Linked DNA regions of Mus musculus: regions 1, 3, 4, 5, 6 and 7 are each reported to be linked to region 2. The links are microRNA targets in miRTarBase. Many come from high-throughput screens and were not tested one by one. Region 2 holds a microRNA gene; each other region holds the end of a gene's coding sequence.

Evidence for each region. Region 2 holds the annotated microRNA mmu-miR-129-2-3p (AAGCCCUUACCCCAAAAAGCAU, at 1,036-1,057, opposite strand). A microRNA usually pairs through its seed, bases 2 to 8, with sites in the 3' UTR of a target mRNA and lowers its output. Matches are read on the target gene's strand: a 7mer-m8 pairs with bases 2 to 8, a 7mer-A1 pairs with bases 2 to 7 and ends in A, and an 8mer does both.
Region 1: miRTarBase lists Zfyve27 as a target of mmu-miR-129-2-3p. Seed matches in the 3' UTR shown: 7mer-A1 at 633-639 and 7mer-A1 at 2,471-2,477.
Region 3: the mRNA of Opa3 is a reported target of mmu-miR-129-2-3p. Seed matches in the 3' UTR shown: 7mer-A1 at 2,096-2,102.
Region 4: the mRNA of Slc17a8 is a reported target of mmu-miR-129-2-3p. Seed matches in the 3' UTR shown: 7mer-A1 at 1,724-1,730.
Region 5: miRTarBase lists Eef2kmt as a target of mmu-miR-129-2-3p. Seed matches in the 3' UTR shown: 7mer-A1 at 686-692.
Region 6: miRTarBase lists Agtrap as a target of mmu-miR-129-2-3p. Seed matches in the 3' UTR shown: 8mer at 1,085-1,092 and 7mer-A1 at 1,947-1,953.
Region 7: miRTarBase lists Pus7 as a target of mmu-miR-129-2-3p. Seed matches in the 3' UTR shown: 7mer-A1 at 1,183-1,189 and 7mer-m8 at 1,430-1,436.

The regions. Positions count from the first base shown.
Region 1 is chr19:42,190,039-42,193,178 of GRCm38, forward strand. Zfyve27 (zinc finger, FYVE domain containing 27) reads left to right here. Exons shown (of 13, transcript NM_177319.3): 13 at 345-3,140. The coding sequence ends at 409. Among named protein-coding and RNA genes, the nearest start is that of Sfrp5, 11 kb to the right of the region's middle.
Region 2 is chr2:94,240,341-94,243,480 of GRCm38, forward strand. It overlaps Mir129-2 (microRNA 129-2), which reads right to left and starts at 1,113; the gene lies at 1,024-1,113. Mir670hg (a long non-coding RNA gene) reads right to left here. Exons shown (of 8, transcript XR_003953878.1): 3 at 2,973-3,140. Mir129b (microRNA 129b) reads left to right here and starts at 1,038; the gene lies at 1,038-1,102.
Region 3 is chr7:19,244,688-19,247,827 of GRCm38, forward strand. Opa3 (optic atrophy 3) reads left to right here. Exons shown (of 2, transcript NM_207525.3): 2 at 67-2,130. The coding sequence ends at 464. Among named protein-coding and RNA genes, the nearest start is that of Gm38499, 3.2 kb to the right of the region's middle.
Region 4 is chr10:89,573,823-89,576,962 of GRCm38, reverse strand. Slc17a8 (solute carrier family 17 (sodium-dependent inorganic phosphate cotransporter), member 8) reads left to right here. Exons shown (of 12, transcript NM_182959.3): 12 at 306-2,943. The coding sequence ends at 647. Among named protein-coding and RNA genes, the nearest start is that of Slc17a8, 46 kb to the left of the region's middle.
Region 5 is chr16:5,242,681-5,245,820 of GRCm38, reverse strand. It overlaps Eef2kmt (eukaryotic elongation factor 2 lysine methyltransferase), which reads left to right. Exons shown (of 8, transcript NM_027446.2): 8 at 436-1,666. The coding sequence ends at 554. Alg1 (asparagine-linked glycosylation 1 (beta-1,4-mannosyltransferase)) reads right to left here. Exons shown (of 13, transcript NM_145362.2): 12 at 2,058-2,133; 13 at 914-1,380. The coding sequence ends at 1,195. Among named protein-coding and RNA genes, the nearest start is that of Alg1, 11 kb to the right of the region's middle.
Region 6 is chr4:148,077,806-148,080,945 of GRCm38, reverse strand. It overlaps Agtrap (angiotensin II, type I receptor-associated protein), which reads left to right. Exons shown (of 5, transcript NM_009642.5): 5 at 342-3,140. The coding sequence ends at 463. Among named protein-coding and RNA genes, the nearest start is that of Gm13201, 2.8 kb to the right of the region's middle.
Region 7 is chr5:23,739,175-23,742,314 of GRCm38, reverse strand. Pus7 (pseudouridylate synthase 7) reads left to right here. Exons shown (of 16, transcript NM_178403.5): 16 at 339-2,150. The coding sequence ends at 475. Among named protein-coding and RNA genes, the nearest start is that of AI506816, 28 kb to the right of the region's middle.

The DNA.
Region 1 (3,140 bases), not on the chromosome of region 2:
TTTTGAGGTTATTATAAAGAAGAAAGGAAGAGAAAAATGATCCTGTAATCTTACCACCCAGAGATTTTTTAACCACTGTTAAAACGTTTAGGGAAAATTTCCTCTGGTATTTTATTTTGTTGATGCCAGAAGAATTTCCAATGCATAGAACACCTGGGAGAGGCCTGCTGTTGGCGTCAGAGCCACAGTGCCCCAGCGTGTCTGAGGGAGGGAGCTGGGTCAGGGAGGGTGTGGGCCGGGCCGTGGGTGGTCTGTCTCAGGACTGGGGAGGCTAATTCAGTACTTGGCACCTTGAGCCTAAAGGGTACAAAGAACTGTCTCACTGAGTTTTTCTTTCTTTCCAGCTCCTGAAGCCCAGAGAGAGACTGTGTGTGTGTGCGCCTCCTGCAATCAGACCCTGAGCAAATGAGAAGAGAAGCCAGGCTCCAACTGTCCTGGGGCCAGCAGTGACCCTACTGTCCCAACTCTGGGCCTCTGAGGCCTGTGCTGGGCAAACGTAGCCTGACAGCTAGGTCCTTCCTGCCCTTCCCCTGCTGCCTCCAGCTGGGCTGGTGATGCTCTAAGGCCCAGGGGGAGAGGAGCCCCTGGGGTCCCGGCTCTTGGTTCTGCTCTATCCTATACCCTGTTAACTCAGGGCTAGCGAGGGAGTGTCCACCAGAGGGCAGAATTGAGCACAGCCTGCTCTCATCTGGGCTCTGGTCGTCAAGGTCAGGCTGGCTAGACCTTAGGATCCAAGAGACTTGAGGTTGGAAAAGAGGTTCTTCCCTGTTGGGTACTTGTCAGTCTCTCAGCCCCAGAGAGCCTGCGAGGGGACTTAGAGCTCCATGGCCTGCCTTTGCCTTTTGAATAGCCTCAGGACTGGCGTTCCCAGGTGTCCCAAGGAGAGGGAAGGTGAGGGTGCTGCTCAAGTCCTTCAGTGTCAAGTGGATGGCAGGATGGGGAAGCTCTGCTTACAGAATCTTAACTCCCATGGTTCTCTGGTGTCCTCAGCCCTGCTGGGGTGGCTACAGGACCCTCACATCACTCTTCCATCCTGCTCTGAGTCTAGGGCACCCCACCTTTCTCCCACTGCCACATATCTCTAGCCCTTATCTCATGGAACATGCGGCCAGGTGAGTGGAGCAGAGAGACTGCAAGCCTTTGAGGTCCAGGGACGTGTAGGACTGCCCGGATTTCAGGGCTGTTCCTGGAGTAGAGATAGCATTGTAGGATAGGGTCAGTCACATGGCCAGTTTTATGTTCCCTCTGACCTGCCAAGGGTGCTGTGCCTCTTCTTAAGCCATGAGCTGGCTCAGGCCCCTTCCCCTGGAGCTTTTTCAGAGTATTTATTTATTTATTTCATGGTTCCTGAGAGCACGCAGCACAGGGTAGGATGAAGAAGACAAGGGGCTTCTGCCTGAGACCCTTCTGCAGTCATGGACTGCCCTTGGAGCTGATCTTCAGGAACTGTTTCTGCTGCCCAGTCATGGGTGTGGTGCCCACACCTGAACCATTTGAGGTCCTCCTTGCTGATAGGCCACACACACACAGCAGTAGAGCACTGAGGGTTTGGCAGTGGGGACCAAGCAGGTGAGGTGTACTCCTTTGTCCTGGTGAGAGATGCTCACCTCTGCGTATTTATACTGTAGAGCAGTAGACAGGAACGCTGTGGAGAATTGTCAATAAAAGGCCCCATGCTTATGGTTTTGTCAGGTCTCCTAGTGCTGTTCAGGTCTTTCATGTTGCCCAGGGTGGGCTGTAGGTGGGCTTTGCACACCTCCTGTGGCAATTCGTGAGCCAGCCAGGCCCAGTGGAAAGCTGTGCCTTATCAACAGGAGGGGTGGGCTTTATCTTGTGACCAGACCCACGGTCTTGGATTGAGGTTGGGACCAGAACTTAACTATAAATAATGCAGGCTTCAGAATGGAAAGGTTTTAGCTAATCCTCTGGGAAAGACAGAAAGGCCAGCGCTGCAGGAGGCTGAGAGCTGGTAAGCAGGTTTCTGGTGGGGTGAGGTGCAAGTTGGCCCTGTGATCAGGCTAGGCTGGAGCTGGGCACTGCACACATTATGTTAGCGCTGGCACCAAGCTCATGAGGTAGGCTCTGTTTTCCACATGGTAAGGCCGGCAGTGCACAGCAGCAGCACTGTGAGCCAGCTCTGAGCTCAGCCCCACCTACCAAGGACCCATGTGCTATCATCCTGTAGCCTTTAGAAAGAATGCACATCTGTCCTGTGTCCTTATAGCAAAAGCCACTGCTGCCTCCTCTTCCTCCTCTCCCTCCTCTTCTTCCACCACCTCCTTCAACAAAGAATGATTTTAACTTTTTTTTTTTTTTTTTTTTTTTAAGGTATCAGGCCATCTTATTGAAAGGTGACTGTGTAGCCGGGCGTGGTAGCGCATGCCTTTAATCCCAGGATTTGGGAGGCAGAGGCAGGCGGATTTCTGAGTTCAAGGTCAGCCTGGTCTACAAAGTGAGTTCCAGGACAGCCAGGGCTACAGAGAAACCCTGTCTTGAAAAACCGAAAAACAAAACAAAGCAAAAGGTGACTGTCACTGCTGAAAAAGGCTGGCTGTAGTCACAGATGTGAGACAGGGGGCTTGCCTTTTTTGTTTCCTGGAGGTCCCTGTGAGAACAGGTGGGGAGGCTGTCTTCAGATGCAGGTTCCTCTTAAGAGAGCAGAGCTAACAGGGTTCAGCAAGGTTGGTGATGGTGTCACCATGGAGCCTGTGGTACAGAGATCTCAATGTGGAATGATAGACAGCTTGCACGTTGTAGAATTGGATGTCTGTGTCAAAATACACCTTCCAATTTGCTGGTACCCAGGAACAGAGACAGAGAGCCAGGTTGTGTTAGAGTCCTGGCATGTGGCAGGGCAGGTTTGGAACTCTGGCATCTAGCCTGACTTGGGCTCAGGTCTGTTGAGTCTTTTGTGGTCTAGTATGTGGATGTCTTCAGAAGGTCTTGGCAGACCTGGAATAGGTGATGATTTTGGGGTGTTTTCTGTAGCCCCTGGGGCTGAAGCCAAATGAATCTCCTTTTTCAGAGATCTGTGTCTCTTCTCACAGCTGGCCCTGTTCACAGGTCATCCTGCCAGGGACTATACCTAGCCAGTAGCTCATGTCTTACAGTGTCACAGTTTGTCTAGTTCTTGGATATTC
Region 2 (3,140 bases):
ACATTTGCGTGTGTCTGTGTGTCCTTCTGGCCCAGTCCCTAAGGGCAAGGGTGTCTAGCAGTGTTCTTAGCTAGCGAAGGGCACGGGGCACAAAACGTGTTGAAGGCCTGATTTGTGCCACTTGTAACCGAAGTGGTCACGACTGCAAGGAGTGGAGGGGGAGGAGGGGGACCCACGGGCTCTCCCCTTTGCAGCTTGCCTCCCTTCCCAGGTCTAGGAGCCTCGAGTGGCCAGCATGGGGCTGCTGCCTCTGCCACTGCTAAACAACTGCAGCTCGCAGAAGCTCCTTCCCCGCGGGGTTTTCCCTAGTTTCCGCCTGTTTCATCCTCTCCTGCGCTACTTAGTTTTGAAAAAGAGGAGATGGGTGGGTACTGGAGCCTGCAACACGCCTGAAATTAGGTTGGAAGCAGGTTCAGGAAGAAGGCTCCGGGGAGCGGGCGGTGCCTGGGTGTTTTTCCCTCTTTTTCGGAGCTACCGGATTCACGGAGATTCATCTCACCTCCTCTAGATTCCGCTCATCCTAACCGAGGATGGTTAGGGCCTACCGCCCCTCCCTCAAGGGCTTCCCCTCCCCCATATTAGATTCCAATCCTTAGGGTCAAAAAAAAAATGACCGTAAAATTTCCTAAACTGATTCATATTCTAGGTACTGACTTGGCCCTATGGCCATGCCCCCCCCCCTTATTGTGAGTGGGGATATTTGGGGTGTGGGGTGTGGGGGAACGACACAACTTCTGTAAACTTTTATTACATTTTAGCTTCTTCTCACTTCTTCGAAAACACACGCACGCCACCCGCTCCAATTCCCCCTGTGGTACAAAGTCGACTAAAAAGTTGGGGGCGGGGGACATGTCTCGGGAAAGCGAGTGATCAAAGCCTCGCGGAGCGCGGAAAGGACGGGGAGGAAAGAGCTGATTCTTCCGTGGAAAACGGGGAGAAAAACTGGGGAAGTCTCGGATGGAGCCGCTTCGGGAAGGTGCTGGCTTCGGCGGTCGCTGGTAGCTGCAGTCACGTCGCCGAGCGCGCCCTCCGCGAATGCTTTTTGGGGTAAGGGCTTCCGGCTATTGAGTTATGTACAGCAAGCCCAGACCGCAAAAAGATTCGCGAAAGGCAGTCTACCCGCTTCTTCGGTCCGCCGCCACCGCCGCCGCCGTCGCCGCCGCCTTTAGCCCAGCATGTCTCCGAACCCCGAAGCCGAGGAGACTGGATCTCCCCGGCGCGCTCCACCGCGGCTCATCCTCCCCACCCTGCGCGCCGCTCTCCCCTCCTCGCGTCCCCAAACCCATCCCTCTCTCTATCTCCAGATCCCCCGACTCAGCCTTGCACAACCTCGAAGAGGTAGTGGAGAGCGATAAGGGTAGCTCGAAGGGGGACCCCGGATCCCAGAGCCCTGCCTCCACCCCTCTCGCCCTAGCACTCCAAGCCTCCGATCCTATCTAGTCTATCACCCAATTCCCCCATCAGGGTTCTGACAGCCCTGACTGCAAGGTCGTGGATCTCTGAGCAGGTACGATCCAGATTTCCCCCGAATCCCCTCCTATCCTCCCTAGTCCCCCAGCAGAGGTTCCAGCCGTGACTACAGGCGCTGCGTAAAGAGAAAAACTCCCCCAGAGCACTAAATAAATACAGACAAGGCCGCCAGCTCATTGGTGTGGACTAAAATCGTCACCCACCAATCAGAAGAGAGCTCACATTTCTTTTTTTTTTTTTTTTCCAGAAGGGGGAGGGAGAAAAATATTTCCATTTCTAATTATTCAACAAAACCTAGACTAGAACACATTAAAATATTGTTGTTCCAAAAGCTGTCCATGACTCCCTCCCATTCTAGCCCAGGTGAGGGGGTGGCAGTGTATATTGGGAAAGAGGGATTCAAGAGAGCGACCTCTTCCATCGGGACCTAAGCCAGAAGAACCAGACGGAAAATGACTGGCAAAGATGAACATAAAACAAGCTCAAATCCCACTCTAGTTGGCCTATTTCTAGAAAATTAGACCTTTTCGAGTCCCCCTACCCCACTCTGCCCCCCCAAAGTTCTGAATGTTCACTAAGAAGGGTGAAGTTTCTCCCTCCCCCAGAGCCCCCAACCTGTCCAGATCATGGTGTCTAATGGCCCATTTGCCTCAGGTGCCCTTCCTTGTTGCCCCCCCCTTCTGCAAAATATTGAGGGAACAAGAAAGGGTGAGCTGGGCATTGACTGTCACAGTGACAGGAGATTCCAGCATCTGCAGGAGGGAGGGGAATAGAGAGCTAGAGAGGAAGGAGGGGGCAAAGTCTCTCCTCTCCCCCCTCCTCCCTGCCCTTTAAGTCCCTCCCCCATTCCATCTAGCCTAACTTAAGGGGGATGCCCTCTTCTTTATGTGCAGGCCCACCCAAGTCCCAGTGCCCTCTTGCCTAGCCCCAGGGATGCCAAAGGGTGTGATTAAACAAACGCCTATCTCCCTTCCAGTAGGGGGTGAAAAAAAAAAAAAACTTAAGTCAGGGTGGTTACTACAAGCATCACAAGAACTTGGGGGCAAAAGTTGGGTTTTGTTTTGGCTTTTTCACTTTTTTTTTTTTTTTTTTTTTTTTTTTTTGCCATCCCAGAATGGACCTGCAGGCAGGTACGCGCGCGCGCGTACACACACACACACACACACACACACACACACCCTTGGCTTATCATACCCACAGAATGCATTTCTGGACCTGGAGCCTTAGTCTCCCAAGTTCCTGTCGGCCCACCCACTCCGCCCATTCATCACCCTCCTACAGCTCTGTGACCCACCCACCCTCCTACTGCATCCCCTCCGCTTGGCTCGGTTACGGAAAGACGCAAGCACACACCCTCCCCGCGTCTCAACGCCGCGCCAGAGGGGGCTACACAGTCTGCGCTTGCCTCTAGCGCAGGGCAATTGGGGAAAAAAGTTCTGCTCGGCCGACCGTTGAGCCTACCGACCACCAGGCGGCCAGCGCTGCAAATTCTTTCTCCTTACCTGAGTCCGGGGGTCTTGGGAGTGCATTGGTTCGGTGTGCTCTGCAGCGGTCTGGAAGCAGCCCTCTCTGGCCAGCCCGCTCCCCTCCTGCCCCTCCCCAACCCCCATGGGTGTTTGCCCAGCGGCAAAGCGGGCTCTTCCAGGTAAGTATATAAGTTACTGTACTGT
Region 3 (3,140 bases), not on the chromosome of region 2:
CAACTGGAACAAGAAAGTATTGGGGGTGGAGCTTCGGAACACACCTGACCTCTTTCTCCCCTGCAGTGTACCACTGGGTGGAGATGCGGACGAAGATGCGCATAATGGGTTTCCGGGGCACTACCATCAAGCCACTGAATGAGGAGGCAGCAGCAGAGCTGGGTGCTGAGCTGCTGGGCGAGGCCACCATCTTCATTGTGGGCGGAGGCTGCCTGGTCCTGGAGTACTGGCGCCACCAGACTCAGCAGCGCAATAAGGAGGAGGAACAGCGGGCAGCCTGGAACGCTCTGCAGGATGAGGTGGGCCGCCTGGCACTGGCCTTAGAGGCGCTGCAGGCTCAGGCACAAGCGATGCCCTCCTTGAGTGCCCTGGAGGAGCTGCGGGAGGAGCTGCAGGAGGTGCGTGGTCAGGTCTGCAATGCTCACTGTACTTCCAAGTGCCAGGCAGCATCTTCCAAGAAATAGCCAGCTGCTAAGGCCTGGACTTGTTTGTGACCATGTGGCCTCCAATAGAGCCTTCTCCTCACACCTCCTGGCCCGGGATGCTCTGGCCTAGCAGAAACCACGAGGACCTTGATGTAGCTGTGACATGTGGTCACCCCTTACTGACAGGTTCTGGGCATTTCCCCAGGGAGCACTCAGCAGAAGCCTTCAGAGCCCATCCAGTCTCTGACTCAGAGCCCTCAGCCCCTCATTGGACTTTCAAGGTCTCAGACACCTGACTCTCCACTGCTCTGGCAAAGGCAAAAGATGGAACCAGGGCTCAAGTCTGATCATGACATAGACAAGGTCACCTGCCCATCATTGGAGCGCCTCCTTCCTTCGGTGAACACAGGCCACCTTGAGCCTTGCCTCAGGTCAATGTAGCTCCCATGGAGGCAGCAGAGTGCAATTGATGTTCCCGTTCTCTCTCCTCATTCTCCCTCTGAGGTCCCCAGGGGATCACGCCTGTATAGATCCCCTTACTCCTCAGCCTGTGGCATTACCCCATTTCCTCCCTAGGCACAGACGGATCCTAGCTGGCTCGATTCTGACCTGTCTCAGTCGCAGCCCCGCTGCCCTATCCTGAAATGTCCCTGAACCTTGTTTCGGGTGGCACATATTTCCTCCTGTCCTTCTGTGGTATTTTTCAGTTGGGTGGGTTAGATGTCACACACACACCTGTCTGACCCTTCATACCCCTTAGGTCTGGGTCCCTCTACCCTTTCTGTTGCCCCACCTTCCTTGCTCGATCCCCCCAGACATGACTTACTGCTGGGAATGTGATGGAGGAAACAGAGTAACCTGTTCTCCCACCGTTCTGGAAGCCAGCGGCAGAGGTCAGGGTGTTTGGGCCCCACTTTCTTCTGGCTTCAGGGGCCCCAGATCTCCTAGACTCTGTGTCCTGTCTTCATGTGGCTTTCTCTTCCCCCACCTGTCTCTTGCAAGGACACCTGCCCTGAATACAAGACCCACCCTAAATTTAGGATGACCATATTGAAAGAGCCTTTATTACATCTCTGAAGACCCTTTTTCTAAATGGAGACACACAGGCCCCAGGATTCAGACATGGAGTTTTCTTTTGAAGGCCCTCTATTCAGCTTGCTGCCTTCTGCCATTTTAAAATGCAAGGCCCCTACTATGCTGTTTGGCTCTTCCGGCAGCCTACTCATGGCTTCTGGGGTTGGGCTAACCACTATAGCTCCAGAAGGATTGTGGGTGCAGCAGTCACTGTCATGGTTGTCCAGTTCCTGATGGAGCTGCAGAATAAGGAGGCCTCCTAAGGATATATGAGGGGCATAATTAATACGGACCTTCAAACTGGGCCAGTGATCATTAACAATAGAGAAATCCGGGCTTGGTAGCTCATATCTGAAATTCCAGCACTCTGAGGCTGAGGCAGGAATGAGCCTGGGTCCCATCGTGAGTTCCTGGACAGCCTGCTGAACCACAGGGAGAGACCCTGTCTTTAAAAAAAAAAAAAAAGGCAAAAAGTAAAAAAGACAACCAAGCCAGACAGTGGTGATACACGCCATTAATCCCAGCACTTGGGAAGCAGAGGCAGGTGGATTCTGATCGAGACCAGCCTGGTCTACAGAGTGAGTTCCAGGATAGCCAGGGCTACACAGAGAAACCCTGTCTCCAAAAAAACAAAACAAAAGTAAAAGAAAAAAAGACAACCTTGGAGGAAAGGCAGAGGTTTTGGCTCTGGGGGAAAAGGAGCCGAGACTCATCCTGTGAACTCTTCCCACATTGGGAAACTAAGGCTCAGGAAAAGGGAAGCTAGGTGACTTGGCCAAGACCCCATAGCTCAGGAGGGACCAGAGGACCCAGAAGATTCTGGCTGCAGGGCAAGATGAGATAAGGCCCAACCTCTTCCCAGTGGCCAGAGGCACTGGGTTCTGCCCTCTTATCAGAAAAGCCCCAGGCCACACCCAAGATGTCTGACTATAGGTAACAGGTTCATTCTCCCTGGCCCTTGTCCCTAGAGGTGGCACTTGTAGGGCTCCCCCAAGGGGATGAAAATGACCCATCCCCAGGATTCCCCAGACTGAAACCAATACTGAAACTGTACCTCAGTTTCTTCTAGAAGAAGCTGAAGTTGGTGTCTTTAAATTTAGGAGCAGCTGAGTTAGGTGAAAGCTGAACTAGGGACAGAGGACACACATGGCTAGGTGATGAGGGGAGGACAGAGTGAGGAGCCAGGAAAGCTGCCTGTTTGCCATGGTTACCCCTGTGGAGTCACTAAGAGTTCCAGGGCCAGCCCTGGCCACCTTGCCCTGGGTCAGTCTATAGCAGTTATGGCAAAGCCAAGACCGGTGAGGGCGCTGAGCTCCATCAGGTCAGTCCTTACTCCAACAGACCAGCCTCACTGGTGGTGAAGAGCCCCATAGGAATGGTTTCTCTGCTTGCTTGGGAGGAAACAGGCACCAAGAGGAAATGTCACCTTTGGGTCACCCAAGCATGAAAGTAGGCCTCGGGGCCCACCCTGACCCAGTGGAGCCTTCACATGGTCCTGGTGTATGTGGACATGGCAGCCTCTCCCATGATGACAGTGCAGGAAGCCACCGTGGTGTGGTGTGTGGTTCCAGAAGCCTCTGGGGCAGGAGGCCAGAGCAGCTTTCATGGCTCTGACTCCCTACTCATGCAATGTTACATATC
Region 4 (3,140 bases), not on the chromosome of region 2:
TATGGAAACTGGGAATTGAACATGGATCCTCTCTGCAAGGACTTAACCTCTGAGCCATCCCCTCAATTCCATGCGACCTGTACTTTTTACATATTTATTTTAATAGTTTAAGATAAAAATGATGCTCATTGTCATTTTCATTTTCAAGCACTCAAATGAAGTATAGGCTCTGGATGTTGATTCTAATACAAGTCTATGGTCTATGTGGAAGAGTAATGTGGTCTCTGAGAGGCAAATGCTTGGGGCTCACTGGTAACCTCTGTTTTACCTTAACATGCTAACTGCCACTACATTTCCTTTGTTAGACCCGGGAGGAGTGGCAGAATGTGTTCCTCATAGCAGCGCTGGTACACTACAGCGGAGTCATCTTCTACGGGGTCTTCGCTTCTGGGGAAAAACAGGACTGGGCTGACCCAGAGAATCTCTCTGAGGACAAATGTGGAATCATTGACCAAGATGAGTTAGCTGAGGAGACAGAACTCAACCACGAGACTTTCGTAAGTCCCAGAAAGAAGATGTCTTATGGAGCCACCACCCAGAATTGTGAGGTCCAGAAGACGGAGTGGAGACAACAGAGAGAATCTGCCTTCGACGGGGAGGAGCCATTATCCTACCAGGCCGAAGGAGACTTCTCAGAAACATCCTAAATGTCTGGCTTCACCTCAGCTTACAACTGGAAGTATCGCACCCATCGCCTTTCCCATACTGCGTCTTGCCAGGGGGCCAAATCGTGGGAAAGGGGGAGATTAAATTAACAACAGAGAAAAGAAACACGCCTTCTTACAAAGATGGGAATATGGACCTTGGTCTCAGTTGATAAAATAGTTGATCATATTTGGGGTTGGGGTGTGGATTGGGCATTGGCCGTTGAGCCTTCTCTCAAAAGAACTAGTTATTCAGGAATTAATGGTGAGAAGAATAAGGAGTAGCATGTTGCTCAAATAAACACTGGAAGAAATCCCTCTTTGTTCTGGAGAAGAGTACATGGTGGTTGCCATCACATCTCTTAGGATACTCATGTAGAGGAGTTTCCTAAACCTAATGAAGGGAATCACTCATGGGGGCCCTTGGTTGTGCCAGGTGCTTTGTGAACATTATTTAACACTCACACCCTAATACAGTTATACCTGTTTTACAATAGGTTGGTCTACCCAAGGTCGTCCTCTCAGGACCAAGGCTGAGAATGGCAGATGAGCGGGAGTTATAGGAAGGAAGGAAGGAAGGAAGGAAGGAAGGGAGGGAGGGAGGGAGGGAGGGAGGAAGGAAGGAAGGAAGGAAGGAAGGAAGGAAGGAAGGAAGGAAGGAAGGAAGGAAGGAGAGAAGGAAGGGTTCAGCTCATTGTAGAGACATTTTCAATGACAAAAACTAAAACTGAAGTCAGCTGTTTTGTAGGTAATTCCATGTTTGGTCAAGGGTGTGTGTGTGTGTGTGTGTGTGTTTGTATATATGTAAATATTTAAACTAATATGGAAGAGGGAATTCAAACATATGAAATTCTAAAAGCAAAAACCCTTAAGATATTATATTAACTGTTGGACCAAACAATTTGTTAATCAATGGCCTTTTTATTTTTTAAAAAAGTCACAGTCTAGTAAAATACTTAAAGCTAAGCAAGAGCTGGGCATGGTGGCGCACACCTTTAATCCCAGCACTCGGGAGGCAGAGGAAGGCGATTTCTGAGTTCAAGGCCAGCCTGGTCTACAAAGTGAATTCCAGGACAGCCAGGGCTATACAGAGAAACCCTGTCTCAAAAAACCAGGGGGAAAAAAAAAGCTAAGCAAGATAGCTCAGTTTCCAGGAATGGTTGAAAAGAAGTATATAAAGGAGTGGCCATTAAATTTAACCCCCCTAGAGTATCAGGAATTTTTTTAAATAATGTCTCAAGTTAACTATGAGCCCCTAAGGCAGTTAATACCTAAGAAGCAGGTTCAGGGGAGACTATTACGTAAATAGTCTGTTTACTATTTACGTAATAGTATCTTGAAAAGAATCTTGTTCAAACAAATGGGTGTCATTAGCTTTCTTGGAAAGTATGGTCAGATGATATAAAACTATGCCCAAAAGACTCACAATGACTCCATCTGGCATGTTCACAGAAAACGAAAGCACAGCAGTAGTTTTATAGAGAAATATTGCAGTCAACATATTTGAGAGAACCAGGCCTATAATAGGTATTGGGGAATTTATCTGTGATTGTGTAGGGCAATAACATGGATATTCTCTAAATACATTTAAAATGTAATGTTAACATGTAAGAGTATTAGAAAATAAAACTATTTTCTTGCTCTTCAGTTTTGAAATTTTTATTTCTGTTTTCAGGAGGAAAGTGTAATATGATGATAAAATATAAATTTACTTGCATAATATTTATTTTCTAGTTTTTTTCCATTTTATTTCTGAACCCCCCCTTGTTATACTTAAGGAGTTATAATGCACTTTATAAAAAGACTAATCATAGATTTTTAAAACTTCCCATTAAATAATATTCTTTATATCATTTGTAGATAGTTTGTGTTATCAGATGTTGTTAGATCTCCTTATTGTGTGAATCCACGTAAGTCCCCTAGAACAGTTATGGGCATAAAGAAGCACTCAAGAAATAGCTGTCACATTGGCATTATCTTTAACTCTTGTGTGACCATGTCATCTGTGAAGAGTGTTGTGTCATTTCATGCATTGGCCACAGAGTTTATTATGAAAATTATACTGTTTTCTTAGTAAAAAAATAGGAAAAATGTGTTTATTTCTTTGTGTGTTAATAAAACATAACTATAAGTATGAAAAAAGCCTCATGATGATCATGAAGGCAATGTAGATTATGGCACAATCTGTTGTTAGTGTTGACATCATGCAGAAATACCACATTTTGCTTTTAACCTGCTTGTATGATCTATTTTTTTTAATGGTGGGCTGGATCGTGGCATTAAACACAATAAAGCACGATGCCTTGTGGTGATGTTATTTCCACGTGGGTTGCGCTGGGCCACTAATTACACTTGCACAGCATTGACAAGTGACAGGGGCCAGATCTTGTAGATCTTGCTCTTGCTGTCCATTTGCAGACCTACCTTTCAGAGTGGAGTGTGGATTCCAGTGGGAGGAGTCCAGAGGATGCTGGGTTATCAAAATAAAGTCGTGGT
Region 5 (3,140 bases), not on the chromosome of region 2:
CCCCATAAAGCCAGGCAGCTGAGTTAGATCATAGCTGATCTCTGCTTGTGCCAACTGACAGGGTAGGCAGGTGCAGAGAGGCAAGGAACCCAACAGGAGAGGTGGCCACAGAGAGATCAGTAAGCAAAAGTGCTTACTTACCATACGAACAAGAAGACCCAAGTTTGAACCACCATTTAAAACGCTGGGTTGTGGCTGTAAGTACCTGTAATTCTAGTGTCGTCAGGGGCAGAGACAGGATTGCTGGGGCTTAGGGAATAAAGGGGAACATGGGAGCAGAACCTCTGCCTCTACCTTTAGACCAAGCGTGCCCACAGATACACACTCCCATAGAGCATCTACCCGGGCCTGGAAACCTGTGGCCAAGCAAATCAGCTTGAACACACAGCACACCTGTGTCAACTGCCCTCCTGAGATCTCTGTACTCTTATCTAGACCGTGCTGGAATCTACTGGGAAGAGGTGCCCCCTCACACTGGCAAACTGTTCCCTTACGAAGAGCATTCAGCCATCGTAATCCTGAAGCTGGTGCTGACCAGTCGCCATGGTGTTTGAAGGTGATTTGAAAAATGAGATGACTAGCCGGGTATGGTGGCGCACGCCTTTAGTCCCAGCACTCGCGCAGAGGCAGGTGGATTTCTGAGTTCAAGGCCAGCCTGGTCTACAAAGTGAGTTCCAGGACAGCCAGGGCTACACAGAGAAAACCTGTCTCAAAAAACCAAAAAAAAAAAGGAAAGAAAAGGAAAGAAGAGAAAAGAAAAATGACTGTCATGGGAAAGCGGAAAGCGGAAAGGCTTCTGTTGAGCAGGAATGTTAAATAACAGCACAAGTGTACAGTAAGCACAGGCTGAGTGCTGGTGCCTGTCCTCAGCAGCTCATCTCGAGTGGACACAGGCTCAGAGCAAACACTTCCATTGTACAAATAAATATATACATTTATTAAGTATGACTGTCCTGTCAGACAGTTCAGCCTTGCTCAGCCAAACCCAGTGAACACAGGCTATCCCAGAGCTCACAGCAGAACCAGAACGCAAGGGATGTGACAAGTCCAGAAACAAAAACCCAGGGACTGAGAAGTTGGCAGGGACACTGGAAGTAACAGAAGTGCTCAGAACAGAAGAGAGCTGCCAGATCAGTAGCCAGATCCTAGCTGTCGCCCACTGCTGTCCTCAGGCTTATGACCACTAGGGGGCACTCAAAAGCCCCGGCAGGAAGGGTGGCCACAGGGTGGATGGGGCCTGGGGGTCATCTGTGAGTGAGCGAGCAGAGGGAGCACAGTGTGCTGCCAGCTCTCATCCCAGCGTTGCTGCCCCGACTCCTGCAGTTTCTTCCGGAACTGGCTTAGCTTTCCAGCAGGGTCTGGGAACTTTGAGAAAAGCATCTAGGGAAACAGGAAAACTGGAACTCAGCTCCCTGCACCAGGCCCCGGCCTCCTTGCTCGTGTCCAGTGGTGCCCCTCCGCTCACTCGACACTTGATGGATTCATCTACTCACCCACAGCCCTGCCCTAGAGAATGGCTAGCCTCCACCTGCTATTCTCTCAGTTTCCCCTCCCATCCTCAACACACCCCTGCAGATGCAGTTAAGATGGAAGCCTTTAGTGTGTCTATCAGGGACGGGTTGGGTCCTGCCCACCTGCCTTTGTAAATAAAGTTTTATTGGAACTCAGATTATGTGCGCATGTGCACAGCTAGTGTTCCCATCCATGCCAGATGCTACTGCAGTTCTTACCCAGACTTAAGGACAGAAATGAGAGGACGTTAGTTTTATAAGGATAGACCCCTCAGCGGGTGCTCCCTTGGCCCCCACCCTCCTTAAAGGGCAGCACAGCTTCCATCTTTGGACACGTGGCAGGCAGGGGTATGTATGTTTTCCCCTGGCAAGGTGAATGACTGGCTGACAGCCCAGGCTGAGAAGCTACCTTTGAGCCCTCTGCTCCCTTCCTCTACACCCCAGAGTTCTACCACAGCTGTCCCTGTGTGGGAAGCAGGGATCGTGCAGCTGGCAATGCCAGGCTTCAAACCACCCAGCCCCACACGGACGGAGTAGACCCAGTACCTGCAGCTGAGCTGCCAGCTCCTCAGCATCCTTGAAGACCAGACCATTCTCTCCATGTCTTACTAGCTCGTGCAGACTGCAGAGAGAGCAAGGGAGTTGAGAGCCAGCTGGAGAAGAAAGGGAACCGAGCGGAGCCATTTCTACCCCTCAGGTGAAATAGGCCTCTGTTCTGAGCGCAAGTATTTGGACAGAAAAGCCTACAAGGGCACATGTCAAACCACCAGGCTGATTTGGAGAAGGGAAGGTGGCCTGAGATGGTTTCTGTGTTTTTTCTCCACTCCAACCTGAGAGCTAGGGTCCCAGCATGTCTGAACGTGGCTCCACACATTAAGGTAGCTTTTCAGAGTCACTGGGAGATTTGATCCTGACAGTCCCTGAACTTGGCTCACTCAAGGCTTTCCCATCCAGAGGCTGCTTCCTAGCTGCCAAGCTGCAGCCTCTGTGCTCACATCCGCCCTGGCCGGGGAAGTGGAGTCCCAGAACTGCACTGGTGTGATAATCCAATGCAGTCCTAAGAGCTCGGCTACAGAGCAGGGAGGTAAAGTAAGGCACCTGCAAGCGCATCTGGCCACCTCCCCCTCCCTCTCCCCCTCCCAGGGTAAGCCTGAGTAGCATGCTAGCCATGAGCAAACCCCAGCTGTGCCCGTCCCACCTCCCCCTCCCAGGGTAAGCCTGAGTAGCATGCTAGCCATGAGCAAACCCCAGCCGTGCCCGTCCCACTCTGTGCAGGCCTCCTTCCTGGAGCCCCTGTGCATCCACAGATGCTCAAGTTCCTTATGTCCCATAAGCTGCTGTGTTTGCATATGGTCCGCATGAGCATCCCCTCTAAATGGCATCTAATACCCTGGCAGTGGAGCAGGGATAAGAAGAAAGCCACATGTTGGTAGAGACACACTCAGCATGCTCCTTACTACAGTTTTTTTCCTGAGACAGGAACTTACTGAGTAGCACAAGTTAGTTTCAAGCTCCGGAATCCTGCCTTTGCCTCCAGACTACAGCCTCATATTTCCAACATCCTAAAACCATTTTGCACCTCAGTGGCTGGCATGACATGGAGTGGTCGCACCAAGCTGACTGACCTTC
Region 6 (3,140 bases), not on the chromosome of region 2:
CATCAGTGCTTCTGGGGCAGATTTGGCACAGCAGCCAGGAGCCACTGACCATAGGACCTGATGTCTAGGCTGGAACCCAGTGTCCTATGCCTCAAGCCAAATGATATCAAATCAGCCTGTCTCTCTGACCCTCAGATGTCTCTCATCTGCAGATCCACCCATCAGATGCTAGGATTGAGTGGATGCTGCCTGCCAAAGGCTTGGTGTCTGGGCTTCTGCTACTGCACATTGTCCTTAGCATCATGGTGTTGAACTCTAGCCATGGCAGACGGTGGATCCATCTGTGCTTAGCAAAAACCCCAGGGTCTCATTTTCTCTATGCACATGTCCCTGTCCTCTAGATTTCTTCGGACCCTCTCAGGAGCACAGTGCCTACCAGACAATTGACTCATCATCAGACGCTGCTGCAGACCCCTTTGCAAGCCTGGAGAACAAGGGCCAAGCTGTCCCCCGGGGGTACTGAAGCTGTCCCTGGTCGTCCTGGTCCCCAGCAGGATTCTTGTTCAAACCTTCTTTACCTGGACCTACAGTGGGGCATCCGCCATTCCCTATCACAGAGGTGGCCTGAGTCATGTGCCCTTGGAGGTCAAGAGCCTCTAGCTTCTCAGTGGAGAAGAGCCCAGTCCTAATTCTCCAGGCTACCCCTCCCTTCAAGACACCTGTTAACCCCTGGGCTAGAGCTGTGGTTGGTTTTTTCCCCTCCTACCCCATAACTATAACACACTCCTACTGAACTGCCCAGAGTGCTCAGGGCCAGCCAGGCCTCATGGGTTAGTGATCACTGCCGCTCGGGCTGCCCCATGGTGATCAGCCCTTCCTAGAAGCTCTGTGAGCTTGTGGTCCCGCTCAGCCTGCTCTGCAAAGGGGCAAAGTTCCTGTGCCTGTCACGGCCTCATGACTTGGTGTCTGAGAACCCCAGGCCTGGATGCAGTAGTTCTTCAGAGGCCCCTCTCAGAGTGCTGGCATTAAAAATTCAGGGGTTCTGTGGCTGCTCTGTGTCTGAGCCACGATTGAGCTCCAAGCACAGACCCACCCTGCTGTCTTGGTATGATTTTTGCCTTTGAGTCAAGAGCCTGATGGAAGGAAGGGCTACCTGTGGGCCTGTGGGGGGAGCCTGACTGTGGCCAAACGGTCAGTGTGGCATGTGGACAGACATCTGTCCTCTGAATCTAAGTGACTATCACTGCCTCTGATACTGACCCATGAGGCAGGGCATGGGTGACTCCCTCTATCTCCTGCGTTCTTACCACAGTCGACTGCCTCCTGAGGTTCCAGGGCCCCTATTCTTACTGCCAGATCTCTGGGGACAGATACTTGAAGACTTATGGGGAACCACAGGCTGAGGTGACTGTCCTGAAAGGACTGTCTGCACACCTGTGGACAGGCAGGGAGGCTGAGTGACAGCATCTGTGAAAAGTGAACCCCACCCCCCACCCCCGCCTCTGGACAGGGTCACTGTGGAACACCATCCCATACAATCAGCATCCCATACAATCAGCATCCTGAGCCCAGTGTGAGCAGAGTGAGGAGCAGCGTGTGCCACTAGAGGGAGGTAGTTGTGAGGCAACCTCTCACAAAACCCTTAGGTTTGTTTAGGTTGTATGCAGCACAGTATAAAACATGAGCCGGGGCCCAGAGACGAGGCTCAGCAGCAGGTGAAAGGAGTCAGTCTACTACTTAGCGTGACAATCTGTGTTTAGTTTTGGACCGACTTGAGAAAGTTGTCCTCTGACCTCCACACATACTCTTGTCATGGTATGAGGTTTTACACACAAACAGAGAGAAGAGAGAGAGAGAGAAAGAAAGAAAGATAGATAAAAACAAACAATCCAGAATATTAAAAACCTGCCTGGTGGGTGGTTAATCCCAGCACTCGGGAGGCAGAGGCAAGTGAATGTCAGAGATTGAGGCCAGGCCTGGTCTACAGAGTGAATTCCAGGTCAGCCAGGGCTACACAGAGAAACCCTGTCTACAAAAAAATAACAAAAAAGCTCTGGGATGCATGTCAAGTTCCTGACTGCAGAGGCCTTGGGGGAGAAGGGAACATGAGGCCTGCGGCAAGGAAGATGGAAAACCCAGGGTGTTTCTCCTGTTTCTGGGCAGTTTCTAGGCAGAAGGAAGGCCTGGAGTATCAGTGCCGTGTCTCTTGGAATAGGTCATGCTTGCAGAGACGAATAAGGTGAGGCAGGGGCTCAGCCTAAGTAGCTAAGACAGGTCCCAGAGCCTGCATCCCTCAGATCCAGCTGACCTTAGGGAAAGGTGGAGGAGGAATATCTCTGGAAGAGCCCCAAAAGCAGACTAGAGCAGGGGAGCTGGGCTTTCTCATTGGTCAATGGCTGTCCCACAGTGGATGACAAACTTCCAGCTGATGGAGGAGAGGCCCCGAGGCAAGCAGAATAGGTGGGTGAAGAGAAGAGACATGCCCTAGAGGCAGCAGTGGGCTAGAGAGGGTCTAAGTGGAGGGGCAGCCCCCCAGGAAGGCTGGCCTGGAACACTGGCCAGCATGTGGTTAGGAAGTGGTGTGGCTGGAGCGCTTAGTGTCAGATAGCAGAAGAGCAGGTTGGGAGCCACCATGGGGACTGCCTTCCACTGAGTAAGAACTCAAGAGAGCATGCATCGGTATCCGAATCTGAATGTGACTGGTTGATACTCCCTAGAAGGATACTTTGTACTTGTTGGCTGTGGGAATGTGACAACTGTCACCTCCTGGACACACTCTGAAGGTGGGCCTGCGGGAACTGCTGATGCACCGAAGAGAGAAGCCAGGAATACTAACAGTAGGATTGGGGCTGTACCCTGTAGTTGCCACTGACTGGAAAGCCAAGAGGAGCACACAGGCTGGTGGGGCACAGGATGGCCAGGCAGGGTCCAGAAGGCTGTGCTTGTGGGACGGGGCTCTTCAACCAGCTGCTCTCACGGGCACCTGCCTTTGTGCCACAAGGCCCCGTGGTGGTTTGGAAACAGGCTGGCCCCCAGGTTTTAGTCTAGAGCCTGCCGTTCTTGGGAGGTCTCTTACCTGTTGCCTGCAGAGCTGAAGTCTCTTGTCCTGTTTGCAAGTCTATTGCTTGCTTGTTGAGTTGAATCTTCCTGAGAAACTGCCCCTGAGGCACTCAGTGTTCTGTCTGCCAAACTGCTGGTGT
Region 7 (3,140 bases), not on the chromosome of region 2:
TGGGTCGGCGCGTGCGCACTGCACACACGGGAGATCAGAGGATGATTCAGAGGGGTCAGTTCTCTTTACCCTTTTGCTCCTGGGGACATTTAAGTCCAGACTTAGTGCAGCTGCTTCTACTTGACGGGCGCCTTTGCCAGCCCTTCCTGCCCTGGTCATCAGGTTCCTGAGTACAGCTACCATACCCCGCTGGTCCATACACTCCTGTGCTCTCATGTTGTGGTCTCATCCTGCGAGCACCCTTGGGGAGTGGAATCGTAAGGAAAGGGGCGTAGCTTTTGGGGAAGCCCCGTGATCTTTGGTCAGTCTTTTGGTCACTCTTCTTTCTTGCCCGGCAGAAGGCAAATACAGGGCTCTGAAGATGGACTTTTCTCTTCCTCCTTCTACTTACGCCACCATGGCCATTCGAGAAGTGCTCAAAATGGACACCAGCATCAAGAACCAGACCCAGCTAAATACGAGCTGGCTGCGATGAACAGTGCATCGCTCAGAGAGGGGATGCAGACCTGCTTCTGACCTCCTATTCTGGTCTTTTTTTAAGTGCTGACTCATGTTTGGAGTTTAAAACTTTTGTAGTAAAGGATGATTTGTATTTTGTAAAGTTTTTAATCAGCTTAAATACTTTGCAATATTTGTACACATATACAAGTCCTGAGGATCCTAATTTCAGCTCAGAGATCGAATTGGGTCAGCATATCCTGTAGGTGCTTAGATTCTAGTACAGCATCAGCTTCCTGCCTTTAACACAGGGAAGGGGGACTTGGTTTAAAGTTGCGGTTTTAGGTTTTGCTGCACACCTGAAGTACAAACCAGAATCTTAGATGTTTGTGATGAGATTACACATGGTCCGTGTCAGAGCAAATGCAGCAGACTGGAAACTAGAGACTGCACACTTAACACGCAGTTCCCGTGTTGGTTTCAATAATAACAAAACATCCACGGGTTTATAAACACGGCGTGGCTTTTGTTGAGTGACTGTGTTAGCTTCAGGTGAGCATTTATACACATCTTAGCTTGCAGTGGCTTTTCTGGTTAGTCTATCAGCATCTTTCAGGGCACTCTTTTCCTTGATAGGAGCCTGTAGCTTTTCTTGGGTACAGTCTGATTTTACTCTGGGTGCCTCTTACTCTCAGAACCTTTTCACTGGACTCAGAAGTAAATAGTGTGAGTTCCAGGACAGCCAGGGCTACACAGAGAAACCCTGTCTCGAACGCAAAAAAACAAACAAACAAAAGGTAAATAGTGACCATGAAGGAAATCTGGGAAACTTAGAATGGCTCCTGCAGCCGGGCGTGGTGGCCACGCCTTTAATTCCAGCCCCCGGGAGGCAGAGGCAGGCGGATTTCTGAGTTCAAGGCCATCCTGGTCTACAGAGTGAGTTTCAGGACAGAGAAACCCTGTCTCAAAAAACCAAAAAAAAAAAAAGAAGAAGGGCTCCTACTTCCATCTGCAGCGCTGACCCTCAGCCAGCAGCTGCTTAGGGGTTTCCATCATGGCAGTGCAGAAAACCCTCCTCTAAAAAGATGGATATGCCTTTCAGACAGTGTGAGACATGACTCTAGCCAGTTTTATTTTCTGTTATTTCTTAAAGCAAATGTAATAAATATTTTTAAGAACACATTTTTTACTAATTATGTAAATAAATCAAATAAATATTCTAAAACTGAGTGCATGTAAAAATCTTGTCCCTGGCTAACGGGCAACAAGGCGCTCGATGAGTGGACAGTTGACAGTCGTCAGCAGATGTGGCATAGTGGCGTCTCTATCAAGATGGGCTGTGAGACTCATACAGTATCCACTGGGGTGACTGACTCATGGCCTGGACTCAAGGTAATTCCTCCCACGGTGTCGCTCCCTGGCCTCCCAGTGTGCTTTCTGGAGTGAAGAAGATGCCTGGAGAGAGACAACAGCCATTAAAGTATAATTGAGGGGGCTGATGAGATGGCTCAGTGGTTAAGAGCGCCAACTGCTCTTCCGAAGGTCCTGAGTTCAAATCCCAGCAATCACATGTTGGCTCATAACCATCCGTAACGAAATCTGATGCTCTCTCTTTTGGAGTGTCTGAAGACAGCTACAGTGTACTTACATATAATAAATAAATAAATAAATAAATAAATAAATAAATAAATAAATAAATAAGGGGGAAAGTATAATTGAGAACCAATAGTGCATTTCTCCTCCCTCTCCTCCTTTCCTTTCCTCTCCTCTCCTCACACTGGCCACTGGCCACACACTGCTGAAGCGAAAGGAATGAGTCAGACCTGATCCTTCCAGCCAGCTCACACTTCTACGGACCCCAAGTGTAAGTGTCCATGATTACTGAGGTTACCCTGGATTCAAATAGTCTGCAAACAAAAAAGAGTTTTATCCTGCAGAGGACTTGTATACTAGGGTCTACCATCTACAAAGAGAGAGAGAGATCCTGAACTGAGCTCACAGGACCAATTTAAAGCACATTACGGGAATTCCAGAGTAGGTGACCTTAATCTTGCTCCATCTCTAGGAATCGTTCAGAACCATTGTTGGGGCCTAGGGGCTTGCCACTGGAAGTCTGGAAACTGTTGCTGCCCCATCGTCCTTGCCTCAGGCCAGGTGGTAGTGCAGCTTCTGAGGCCTGGATATGCCTAGTTCTTAAAAACAGATTGAGGCCCAGTCTCCTGAACTGCCTATTTGAAGCCTGTCATGGAGTTAGCCTAGCCTTCTCAAAGCAAGGTAAATAACTCAAAGTAGCTTCAGGAAGTCCTGAAACTGACCAGATCCACTAGGCCCCTCCCTGCCAGAATAAAGTATAGGAGCCAAGGAGTCTCAGACAAGCTGAGCTGCAAAGACTGAGACCAGACCAGCCTCCTGAAAGAAGCAGAAACCAGCTGAGCTGCCTGGAAGAGGTATAGAGCAGAGGTTCCTGGAAAGGACCCCGCCAGCCTCTGGGCTGCCTGCAGGCTGTGCAGTGTTCCCAGCTTTGTAAGGGGTCATCTGTGCTAAGGTGAGCCTTAGTGATGCAGCTGTCTGAGTCATTTCTGATTCTGTAAGTCACCCGCTGGTTCACCAAGTTGGACCTCGGTAGACAAGTAAATGTGAGCTGAATCTCTAGCATGACCATGTCACAGCAGCAGGAGCGTCAAGGCATTCCAGACTGCCTT